Canis lupus familiaris: one gene and its partners. The protein of the gene in region 1 interacts with the protein of each later gene in a biochemical or structural test. Links are inferred from orthologs where the notes say so. Each region holds a gene or a part of one and is shown in the gene's direction. Other genes may lie near its edges.

What was found.
Region 2: the proteins of DNAJC3 (region 1) and THAP12 form a complex in vitro, tested with the Homo sapiens proteins (2 studies listed by BioGRID). The link is inferred for Canis lupus familiaris from reciprocal best matches to the Homo sapiens genes DNAJC3 and THAP12.
Region 3: the proteins of DNAJC3 (region 1) and EIF2AK2 form a complex in vitro, tested with the Homo sapiens proteins (2 studies listed by BioGRID). The link is inferred for Canis lupus familiaris from reciprocal best matches to the Homo sapiens genes DNAJC3 and EIF2AK2.

What each region holds. Positions count from the first base shown.
Region 1 is NC_049243.1:46,522,942-46,526,593, forward strand, and holds part of DNAJC3 (dnaJ homolog subfamily C member 3), read left to right. Parts: intron 1-2,099; coding exon 2,100-2,232; intron 2,233-3,058; coding exon 3,059-3,207; intron 3,208-3,652. UniProt on the Homo sapiens protein: Involved in the unfolded protein response (UPR) during endoplasmic reticulum (ER) stress.
Region 2 is NC_049242.1:22,429,492-22,433,017, forward strand, and holds the end of THAP12 (52 kDa repressor of the inhibitor of the protein kinase), read left to right. Parts: intron 1-39; coding exon 40-1,973; 3' UTR 1,974-2,969; downstream 2,970-3,526. UniProt on the Homo sapiens protein: Upstream regulator of interferon-induced serine/threonine protein kinase R (PKR). May block the PKR-inhibitory function of DNAJC3, resulting in restoration of kinase activity and suppression of cell growth.
Region 3 is NC_049238.1:29,693,373-29,697,681, reverse strand, and holds the start of EIF2AK2 (interferon-induced, double-stranded RNA-activated protein kinase), read left to right. Parts: upstream 1-1,387; 5' UTR 1,388-1,446; exon of another isoform or gene 1,447-3,307; intron 3,308-4,309.

The sequences.
Region 1 (3,652 bases):
AACCGCCTATAATTTTCTTTTTTTTCTGGATAGGGAAAAACGTGTCTACCTTAAGTTTTAATAAAAGGGTAGGATATAAACCTGTTTTAACTAGAGTTTGCATGAATAGTAAAATTTCATGTATTGAAACATTTTCTTCTTGTATTAAATTCCTTCAGAGTACATTTCCTTACTAGGTTATGGTATCAAGTGTTATTGGAATTGATTTTATTTTATGGGTATTAATTTTAAAGTTAAAACTCACTACTCTCTATGATAGTTTTGTGTACTAAATTGGAAAGGTATTTTATGTTGTCACTATGGGTTGGGTGACTGTAGTAATGTTTCATATTAGTATTTAATGTTAATGCATTGAGGCAGGAATTAGGATAAAAGCTTAAAATGTACCCTCCAAGGACCAGAGGTGGTGTTGATTCATTTTTTCCTGTAGTGCAGGTTACTTTCAGTAATTCTCCCATCTGCAAGGGATACCTTCCAAGACCTCCAGTGGATGGAGGTTACAGATCATATCCAACCCTGTCTACACTGTTTTTTCCTACACATAATACCAATGATACCTAGGTACCATAATACATAATTCATACTTAGGCATGGTAAGAGATTAATAATATTAGAACAATTACAATAATATACTATAGTAAAAGTTACGTGAAGGCGGTGTCTCTCAAAATATCTTATTGTCCTGTACTTATTCTTGTGATGATGGGAGATAAAACAGCTGATGCCTCCATGATGAGATAAAGTGAGGGCAATGGCTTAGGCATTGTGACATGGCATTAGGCTGCTAGTGACCTTCCAGCAGTATGTCAGAAGGATCATTTGTCTCTTAAATGCCTTCCAAGATTAGCTGTGCCAGGACAAATCCTCAGGCATGCTATCCAGAGAGGTTTTTTCCCCACGGTGAAATGCACTTCCATAAAAACTAGAATTTGAATCCAACAGTCCCTTATTTGAGATGTCTGCTTCTCAAGACCACTCCCAGATTTGGTGATGCAGTAGGAGGAGGATACACAGGATTCAGCATACAGTTGTACTCAGGCTCAGATTTATTCTACTGAAAGGATACAAAGTAACATCAGCAAAGGGTAAAGGACAGGTGGCACGAAATCCAGAGAATTGCAGGTAGAAGACTTTAAGAGTCTTTCTCTTTGAAATCACAAGACAAGCTATAATTCCTCAAGATGTGCATGGTGCTGTCTGCCAGGGAAGCTTGCTAGAGTGCCGGTGCCCTGGACATTTATGAGGGGTTGGTCAGCCAGGCACCTTCTGCCCTGACTGCACCCAAATTCAAGTTTCCCAGAAGGAAAGACCATGTTTAACATAAACTACAGTGTACAAACATTGAGGCACGGTGAGCCATTCTTACCAGGAAACGGCAGGAACACTCCTTCAGAGATGCCAGCCAGGACCAACCTTGCCAGCAGGCCTTTCTCAGGATAAGTCTCCGGTTTGCTGTGTTGTGACTCAGATATTCTGATGCCTTGTGTTCTAGATATTAAAGCATTCTAAGCTGAGGCATGCTAAAGTATTAAATCTGAGAAAGATTTAATGTGGATTGTTATCAGACTCCCTGTACTAGGACAGTGTCATCTGCTCTGGGTGACAGCTTAAAAAGTAACAGTTCCTGCTGAAGCCCTTGGGTGACTTAGATGTTCTGATTGCTGATGGTTCTTCTTGCTGCCTTTCTAATCCTCCGATTCTTCTGAATTGTGGACTCGTAGCTGACCGTGCAGATTTTCTTTGCCATAGTCTTATTTTCCTATGTAACAATCAGTTCAGTTGTCGTGATGGTAAGACTGCTTTGTATAAAGTACAGATCTTAAAATCTCTCAGAAGTGTGGCAAAGGTAATGTGGGAAGGTGGGCAGGTAGACAGCAGTGAGTTTAATTGACTGGGAGTAAAAAGCTACCTAAAGTCAGCCTTCATTATGCCTTTTAGAAGTTGGCTAACCCAATCATCACCACCACTTCTTAGGCTCTTAGCAGTAATGGCAAAAGAGTGAAGGGGCCAGGATGGTGACTTGAGAGTCAATCTTGCAGGATAAGTAGAGGTTACAAGTTACAGTTCCTTTGACAGCATTATCTTAAACATTTTGACAGCTATTCAGGATTATGAAACTGCTCAGGAACACAATGAAAATGATCAGCAGATTCGGGAAGGTCTAGAAAAGGCACAAAGGCTATTGAAACAGTCGCAGAAACGAGATTATTATAAAATCTTGGGAGTAAAAAGGTGAGTTATTTAAAATTTACATTGTTATTTTTAATCAACTGTTTTAAAGCTTATTGTTGCTCATTTTTCTCCTCTGATTCAGTTCCTTGCTATGTAATTTTAGTCATGGGTTAAACCTAACCATCTTTCACATCATAAACATCACATCACGAAGCTATTTTGTTACAAGCAGGTTTCTTTATAGAGATTAGTACTGTGACAATGGGAGATTAGTGATTGGTGACAGAGGTAGGACACTGTAGCATGATTTTTTTTTGGAAGGATAAAGGGGAGGGAGCTTTCTTTTGGTGGGGACAGGACGGGGAGAGCGGAAGGAGAGAGCAAACTTCTCTAGGCTAAGAATAAAGTGGCACTTTGAGAATCAATTTAGAGCCACTGAGATAGACAGAAGGTAGGTAATTTATACAAGATCCACCTTCCCTGAGCAAGGGAGCCATCAGCTTTCAGTCACAGTCTGCACCAGAACTAAGTAAGCTAACCAGAAGCAAAATAAAAAGTGTGGTTCAGAGTCAGAGCTCTCTCTTTTAATGCCAGGAATTGTATCAGGTTAAGTTGGAAATGCAAAGTTTAAAAATGGGTCTGATTTTTTTTTTTAAGAGAAAATTGCAGAGATCAAAAGTAATTTCTTCCCGTTGAGATTCTGAAGGCTGACCAGCTTTCATGATCATCCAGAACTGTACGTTAAGCATTCAGCCTATGACCCCATTGGCACTGTTAGGGAAACCAGTGTCAATTTGCCAGTGGGATCTTAAGTGTCTCTTAGTTTTTTTGTGCCAGTGTGTTGGCCACTTCTTAACTAATGACTGATAATATTAATACTGCTCAGAAACGCCAAAAAGCAAGAAATCATTAAAGCATACCGAAAATTAGCACTGCAGTGGCATCCAGATAACTTCCAGAATGAAGAAGAAAAGAAAAAAGCGGAGAAAAAGTTCATTGACATAGCAGCTGCTAAAGAAGTTCTCTCTGATCCAGGTATTGTTGGTCTTTAACATGTTCTGTGCTTCTGAAAGGGCTGAGTCAGCGGTCAGTGGCCTGCTAGCTCTGCAGTAGGAGGACACATGGCAGGCAGTGTCATGCGGGGGGTGGCGGGCTGCTCCGGGCCACCCCACGGGAGCTGGTGACTGGTCCCCGGCCTTGCAGTTGCAGAAGTCCAGTTTCAGGCCTGCCCCGGCCAGATTCCCGGCCCTCATGTGCCTGGTGCAGTGGGGAGACCAACAGTCATGGAGGCAGGAGGCCGGATTTACTGCCCTCCTCCTGCACAAGACACTAGAGCTTTTTGAGTCTCCGCTCTTTCACCTTTGATAATGAGAGCACAGCAGTGAGATGTCTTTAGTTCCTCCCACCACCTTCCCAGATCAGTGATGATTTCTTCATGCCAGACTTACAGGAGCTTGACTAGGAAACCAGGCTGCCAGGC
Region 2 (3,526 bases), on another chromosome or scaffold:
TCATGAGCCTGTTTATAAAATCAGTTCTCTGTTTTCTAGTTGATGAAACTTCTGAACAGGAACCCAAACATAAAGAAATAAACAACAGCAATGCTCAGAACCCCAGTGCAGAAGAAGGGGGTGAAGAACAGGATGAAGACATTTTACCTTTGACTCTCGAAGAGAAAGAAAACAAAGAATACCTAAAATCTTTATTTGAAATTTTGATTCTTATGGGAAAACAAAACATACCTCTGGATGGGCATGAAACTGATGAAATCCCAGAGGGTCTCTTTACTCCTGATAACTTTCAAGCACTGCTGGAGTGCCGGATAAATTCTGGTGAAGAGGTTCTAAGAAAGCGTTTTGAGACAACAGCAGTTAACACATTGTTCTGCTCAAAAACACAACAGAAACAGATGCTAGAAATCTGTGAGAGCTGCATCCGGGAAGAAACCCTCAGGGAAGTGAGAGACTCTCACTTCTTTTCCATCATCACTGATGATGTAGTGGACATAGCAGGGGAAGAACACTTGCCTGTGTTGGTGAGGTTTGTTGATGAATCTCATAACCTGAGAGAGGAATTTTTGGGCTTCTTGCCTTACGAAGCCGATGCGGAAATTTTGGCTGTGAAATTTCACACTACGATAACCGAGAAGTGGGGGTTAAATATGGAATATTGTCGTGGTCAGGCTTACATCGTATCTAGTGGATTTTCTTCCAAAATGAAAATTGTTGCTTCTAGACTTTTAGAGAAATATCCCCAAGCTGTCTACACACTTTGTTCTTCCTGTGCCTTAAACATGTGGTTGGCAAAATCAGTGCCTGTTGTGGGAGTATCTGTTGCATTAGGAACAATTGAGGAAGTTTGTTCGTTCTTCCATCGATCTCCACAACTGCTTTTGGAGCTTGACAATGTAATTTCTGTCCTTTTTCAGAATAATGAGGAAAAGGGTAAAGAACTGAAGGAAATCTGCCATTCTCAGTGGACAGGCAGGCATGATGCTTTTGAAATTTTAGTGGATCTCCTACAAGCACTTGTTCTATGTTTAGATGGTATAAATAGTGATACAAATATTAGATGGAATAACTATATAGCTGGTCGAGCTTTTGTACTCTGTAGTGCAGTAACAGATTTTGATTTCATTGTTACCATTGTTGTCCTTAAGAATGTTCTATCTTTTACAAGAGCCTTTGGGAAAAATCTCCAGGGGCAAACCTCTGATGTCTTCTTTGCAGCCAGTAGCTTGACTGCAGTGCTGCATTCTCTAAATGAAGTGATGGAAAATATTGAAGTTTATCATGAATTTTGGTTCGAAGAAGCCACAAATTTGGCAACTAAACTAGATATTCAGATGAAACTCCCTGGCAAATTCCGCAGAGCGCAGCAAGGTAACCTGGAATCTCAGCTCACCTCTGAAAGTTACTATAAAGAAACTCTAAGTGTTCCAACAGTGGAACACATTATTCAGGAACTGAAAGATATATTCTCAGAACAGCACCTCAAAGCTCTTAAATGCTTATCTCTTGTACCCTCTGTCATGGGACAGCTCAAATTTAATACATCAGAGGAGCACCATGCTGACATGTACAGAAGTGACCTGCCCAATCCTGACACACTCTCAGCTGAGCTGCATTGCTGGAGAATCAAGTGGAAACACAGAGGGAAAGATATAGAGCTTCCATCCACCATTTATGAAGCCCTACATCTACCAGACATCAAGTTTTTTCCTAATGTTTATGCATTGCTCAAAGTCCTATGTATTCTTCCTGTGATGAAGGTTGAGAATGAACGCTATGAAAATGGGCGAAAGCGTCTCAAAGCATACCTGAGGAACACTTTGACAGACCAAAGGTCAAGTAACTTGGCTCTGCTTAACATAAATTTTGATATAAAACATGATCTGGATTTAATGGTAGACACATATATCAAACTCTATACAACTAAGTCAGAGCTTCCTACAGATAACTCAGAAACCATTGAAAATACCTAAGAGACTTTAAAAGTAGGCTTTCTCTTATGTTTGATATTTGGAAAACTCTGTAAGAAATTTGAAACATCTTACAGAAAGAAAAACTGTCAGGTGTATGTAGGCCACTTAATCACTGAATATCTTGACTTATTGACCTCTCATTAAGTACATTAGCCATTGATAATCTGCCTATTTAAAATGGCCCCTGATTGAACTCCTGTGCTTTGGAGACATAACTGTTCTTCCAGAAGATAGCATTGAAAGTGCCACATTACACTTCTACGGGATCTCTGCTAATAGCACTTGGGAATTGTTTTAGTTAAGTCATTTTAGACATAACATTTATTATCACTGGATCCAATTGTCGGGTATTTGAACTATCAGTTCTTAGGAGAAAATAGATTTTGAAGAGGTGTTGGAAGAAGGAGTACATTTTGTAAAATGTTACAATGAAGCTCACGAGTGACCTTTGAATAGTAGGGGTTTTAGTATGTTAAAAATCTATAATGGAGTTAAGGGAGTTACCAGACAGAGAGAAAAGTGAGCTTGCCAAGCAAAGATTTCTGTGTAGATTTTGTCTTTATCAAATGAACTTGAAGGAACAAGTTATACTTAAAGTTTGAATGAGAGAACCTGCCATTGTTCCACATTGGGTTGTTGCTGTTTACATTCCTTTGTTGAGCCTACATCCTCATGAGCTGTTTAGCAAGTATATGTTGAACATCTATGTCTTCGTAAGCTTTTTAGCAGGTGTATGTTGAACACCTCTGTTCATGGTCAAGACAGGATCAGAGGCCATGGATACTGACAACTGATTTGTCTGTTTTCCTCTGTCTTTTTCCATGACTATATCTACTGCCTCGTCTTGATTTATAAACAAAACCTGGAAAACCTACAAAAATAAGTTTTTCGTGGTTATCTAGGAATAATACAGAAAATATTGCTGTTATTTTTGGTGAAGAAAATCAATTTTGTATAGTTTATTTCAACCTAAATAAAATGTGAATTTTGTTTAAAGTTCAGGTACATTATTTTTGGTGAGAGACAAAATGGACTCATGGTAAATTCTTTTTTCAAAAATATCACCTTCACAATTGAAGATAGGTTTTGGAGGGGGGGAGCATTTGGTGGAGTGGGTGGTCATATGGTTTACTACTTGGAGTATATAAAAGACAGTTAAGAAATTACTAAATCATAAGGTTTCTCTAACTGATATTTTTAAATGTGTGCTATATGACCCCATTACAGGTTTTCAGGATTTGTATAATTGTTGATGGCTAAAATGTAGATGAATTAATGTAGTTGCAGAGATGTCGTTGAATTATTTTATGTGGGATATGTTAGTGTTAACTTGAGTTTCTGAAGACAGAATGGGGTGCATTTGCAAAGTGCAGGCCTTAATGATAGCCGGCAGTGCGTTTCCCTATCATGGACAAGGCTGGCAGATATGTCAAATCAGGACACATTACCCATGTACATTATAAAAAAGATAACAGAGTTTATCTTATAGCCAGAGCTCTAAGAAGTGCCTCTGTCTTTGGCAGAAAGAACTGATCAGGTTCATGGTGGCAGGA
Region 3 (4,309 bases), on another chromosome or scaffold:
ATCCTACAAGGAACTTTGCAACTTCAACCCAAATCACCAAAAGACTCTAAAGAAAGAAGTAACTTCCCGTACTTTTAAAAGCAATAGAAAAACATATCCTAATCTCAGGCAAAATGGTAACTTCCTGACAAATTTTCAGTATCTGAGGTCTTGATATAAACCTGCCATAAGAGGCGCCTGGGTGGCTCAGTCGGTTAAGGTCATGATCCAGCTCAGGTCATGATCCCCAGGGCCTGGAGAATCAAGCCTCAGTCAGGCTCCCTGCTCAGTGGGGAGTCTGCTTCTCCCTCTCCCTCTGCCCCTTCCCTGCTTGTGCTCTTTCTCTCATTCTCTCCCAAATAAATAAAATCTTAAAAAAAAAAAATCTGCTGTAAAATGATGACTTCTCAAAGACTAAAGTATTTAAGAAATACTTTCACAGAGGAAAAAAAATGACTAAAAAAAAAGGACTTTTAGGTCCCCAGAGTTGGGGGTGGGGGATAGGAGATTACTGAAGCCTACAGTCCCCTAAGTAATGTAAAGAGAGCATACCATGCCACCGATGGGGAAGTCCCAGTGGATGCTGTTAGTTTTACAAGAGAATTACTTTCATTCTTAAGACTAATTTTCTTCATGTGTCCATTTTCACATTTCAAAGTGAAATGTTGCCCTGAAAAATGGTAAAATATAGAGACATAGGAGTAGGGGTATGGGCAAAATGGGTGAAGACGAGTGAGAGGTACTAGTCTTCGGTTATGAAGTGAATAAGTCATAGGATTAAAAGGCACAGCGTTGGGACGCCTGGGTGGCTCAGCGGTTTAGCGCCTGCCTTCAGCCCAGGGTGTGATCCTGGGGTCCCAGGATGGAGTATCGAGTCTCACATCGGGCTCCCTGCATGGAGCCTGCTCCTCCCTCTGCCTATGTCTCTGTCCCTCTCTCTGTGTGTGTCTCCCATGAATAAATAAATAAAATCTCTTTAAAAAATTAAAAAATAAAAGGTACAGCATAGGGAATACAGTCAATGGTATTGTAATGGTGTGTATTGTGGTAGATGGTAGCTACACTTGTGGTGAGCGCAGCATAACTTAGAGTTATTGAACTACTATGTAATACACCTGAAACTAATGTAACATTGTATGTCAACCATACCCAAATAAAAATAAAAGTAAAAAAAATAATAATAAAAATAAAAGTAAAATATAGTAGCTTAAAAAAAATCAGGAAGAAATACTCTAACAGACGTCTGGGTCTGTTTTTTGTGTGTGTTGCAGGTGAAGTTGGCGATTGGAAAAATTTGTTCAGTGAGACTCAGAACCAGGAAATGGATGCAAAATTCAAAGAGTGCTTAACAGGCACTTCCCTAGGAGCAAAGCTGAAGTATGAATCTTATTGCCAAGCTTGATTCTGGTCATTCAGTAGGCATGGATATTTCATTTTTCTGAATAATAATTAAATATAAATAACAAAGTAAGTTGATCAAATAATAATGATAATTCAGTAACATTTATATGTAAATAATGTGAATTTAATAATAATGACAACATTTGAAGTTTTTGAGCTCAGACTTGTTTGTTCGCTTGTTGAGGAAAGGCCATTTAGCTGTCCAAAGGGGACACTCTTGCTAATGTGGCATACTGGGCTTTTCATTTCTTTCATGCTTTGGGTTCACATAAAAGCATAGGCAGATACTATTAGAAATATGCCTAATTGGTGTTTGAGTGTAAGACAGCCCTCCCAATGATGTATATTTTTTTGTCTTCCCAGAATGATTCCTCTATCTCTCACTACAGATCGAAGTACTTGTGGTAGCTATCTCAAACCTACTGTTAGGGGAAATGTAATTCCAACTCGGCACTGAAGTAAATGAATAAATCCTGTCCTCATAGTTCAAGGAAAATGCATTGCTCATCTACTCTCTGCATGTTCCTGCATTAGACCCTAAGGAGGCCCCATTCTTTTTATTTTTAAGATTTTATTTATTTATTTGACAGAGAGAGACAGAGAATGAACACAAGCAGGGGGAGCAGCTGGCAGAGGGAGAGGGAGAAACAGGCTCCACACTGAGCAGGGAGCCTGGCATGGGACATGGGGCTTGATCCCAGGACCCTGGGATCATGACCTGAGCCAAAGGCAGACGCTTAACTGACTGAGCCACCCAGATGCCCCTGGAGGCCCCTCTCTTAAGGGGCCTTTAGTTCAAAGATAAATATTAGATACTGTGTTATTGTGGCATAAAGGCTTTTCTACCACGGAGCCCCAGGTGGTCATGTAGAATTTACAAGAGAAGCTAGAGCATGTTTTGGGAAAAACCTCTTAATCCTTAATCTTCATACCATAGCTGGTTACAGTTAAGAATAGAATGGTTCGGGATCCCTGGGTGGCGCAGCGGTTTGGCGCCTGCCTTTGGCCCAGGGCGCGATCCTGGAGACCCGGGATCGAATCCCACGTCGGGCTCCCGGTGCATGGAGCCTGCTTCTCCCTCTGCCTGTGTCTCTGCCTCTCTGTCTCTCTCTGTGTGACTATCATGAATAAATAAATAAAATCTTTTTTTAAAAAAAGAATAGAATGGTTCATAGAAAAGTTACATAAAATTTCATTGAGAAAGACTGAAGGGTTACTATTTCTGGTAGTATGGTGGATTACATATACTGAAAACTCTTCCCTCAGAACACCAAGAAAATTTGGATAAAAATTCTTAAAAATACTTTTAGTTGATGGGGAGCCTGGGTGGTATAATCAGTTAAGTGGCTAACTCTTGGTTTTGGTTTGGGCCATGATCTCACGGGTCGTGAGATCAAGCTGTGACAACAGGCTCCACAATCAGCAGGAAGTCTGCTTGAGATTCTCTCTCTCCTTCCTTTGCCATTCTCCCAACCCATCTCTCTCTCTCTCTCTTTCTCTCTCTCTCTTTCTCTCTCTCCCTCTCCAAAATAAATAAATAAATCTTAAAAAAAAAAAACCAATTCATTTCTATTTAAGCACTTAAGGACACAGTAGTTTTTGCTCAACATCACATTTCCGGTACAGGGCTACACATAGTAGGCACTCAATAAATATATATTGAATAAAGGGGATTCCTTTTTTTGACAAGAGGTTGTTTTTAGAATATTAGATCAATTATGATGCTTTTGATGTAATAAACATAATATGAAACACAAATTGGTTAGCAGGAGAAAGAAGAGGAGGGGAGGATTCTTTTAACGGACTGGTCTAGGCTGTGTCTGGTTCAGATGCGGCTTGATCCAGAGCTCAAACAAGGACCCGATTCTTAATCTTCGCTTCTCAGCAGTACTCTCTCATGTAGGCTCCATTTCAAGAGAGGTTTCTCCTTGTGCAGTATTGGGAGACAGAAACCACTGTATGTTAAGCATAAGGATTTAGTAGAAAATGAATGCATGCATGTATGTTGGAAGGGCTGGCAGGATGGAAACCAGGAGACTTCCACTATATCTGCTATCCAGAGTTTAGGATTCTGTCACTGCCACTGCTTCCACCACTGCTGCCACCACATATGCCCTATGCCCTTGGAGAATTGACAAGGGAACTTGAGTCCAGCTCCTGTATGCACCACTGAGCACAGGAGCTTGCTTATCAGCTCGTTCTTTCACAGGACAACCTTTTCCTCCCTTCTGTCTTTCAAACCTTGTGCCATTGTTCATCAGTCATTGGCAGAACCCAAATTATGTCCAGAATTTTAACTCCACAGACATCTGGAAAATGTGATTTTAACCTTCCATACATTATAATCCAGGGATTAGGAAGACATAGAAGGGAGTGAGAACGGAAGCTAAATAAAAATATTATCTAGTGCAGTCCACTGCTTTGGCTAATAATCTTTCAAGCAAACAACAGAACTATGTTCCCACCTAATGCTGCCATCCCCTCCTTCAAAGGAAAAACATGTTTATCCTATCCCCTAATCTCTACACCCATTGCTATGTGATCTTTCTTCCTCTTCTCTTTTAGTTACAAATTCCACCTTAATACACTCTAACCTAGGGGCATCTGGGTGACTCAGGTCATGATCCCGTGGTCCTGGGATCAAGTCCTGCTTTGGGCTCCCCACAGAGAGCCTGATTCTCCCTCTGCCTATGCCTCTACCTCTCTGTGTCTTTCATGAATAAATAAATAAAATCTTAAAAAAAAAAGACACTCTATTTTTTTAAAAGATTTATTTATTTATTTATGATAGACATAGAGAGAGAGAGAGAGAGGCAGAGACACAGGAGGAGGGAGAAGCAGGCTCCATGCCGGGAGCCTAACGTGGGACTCGATCCTGGGACTCCAGGATCGCGCCCTGGGCCAAAGGCAGGCGCTAAACCGCTGAGCC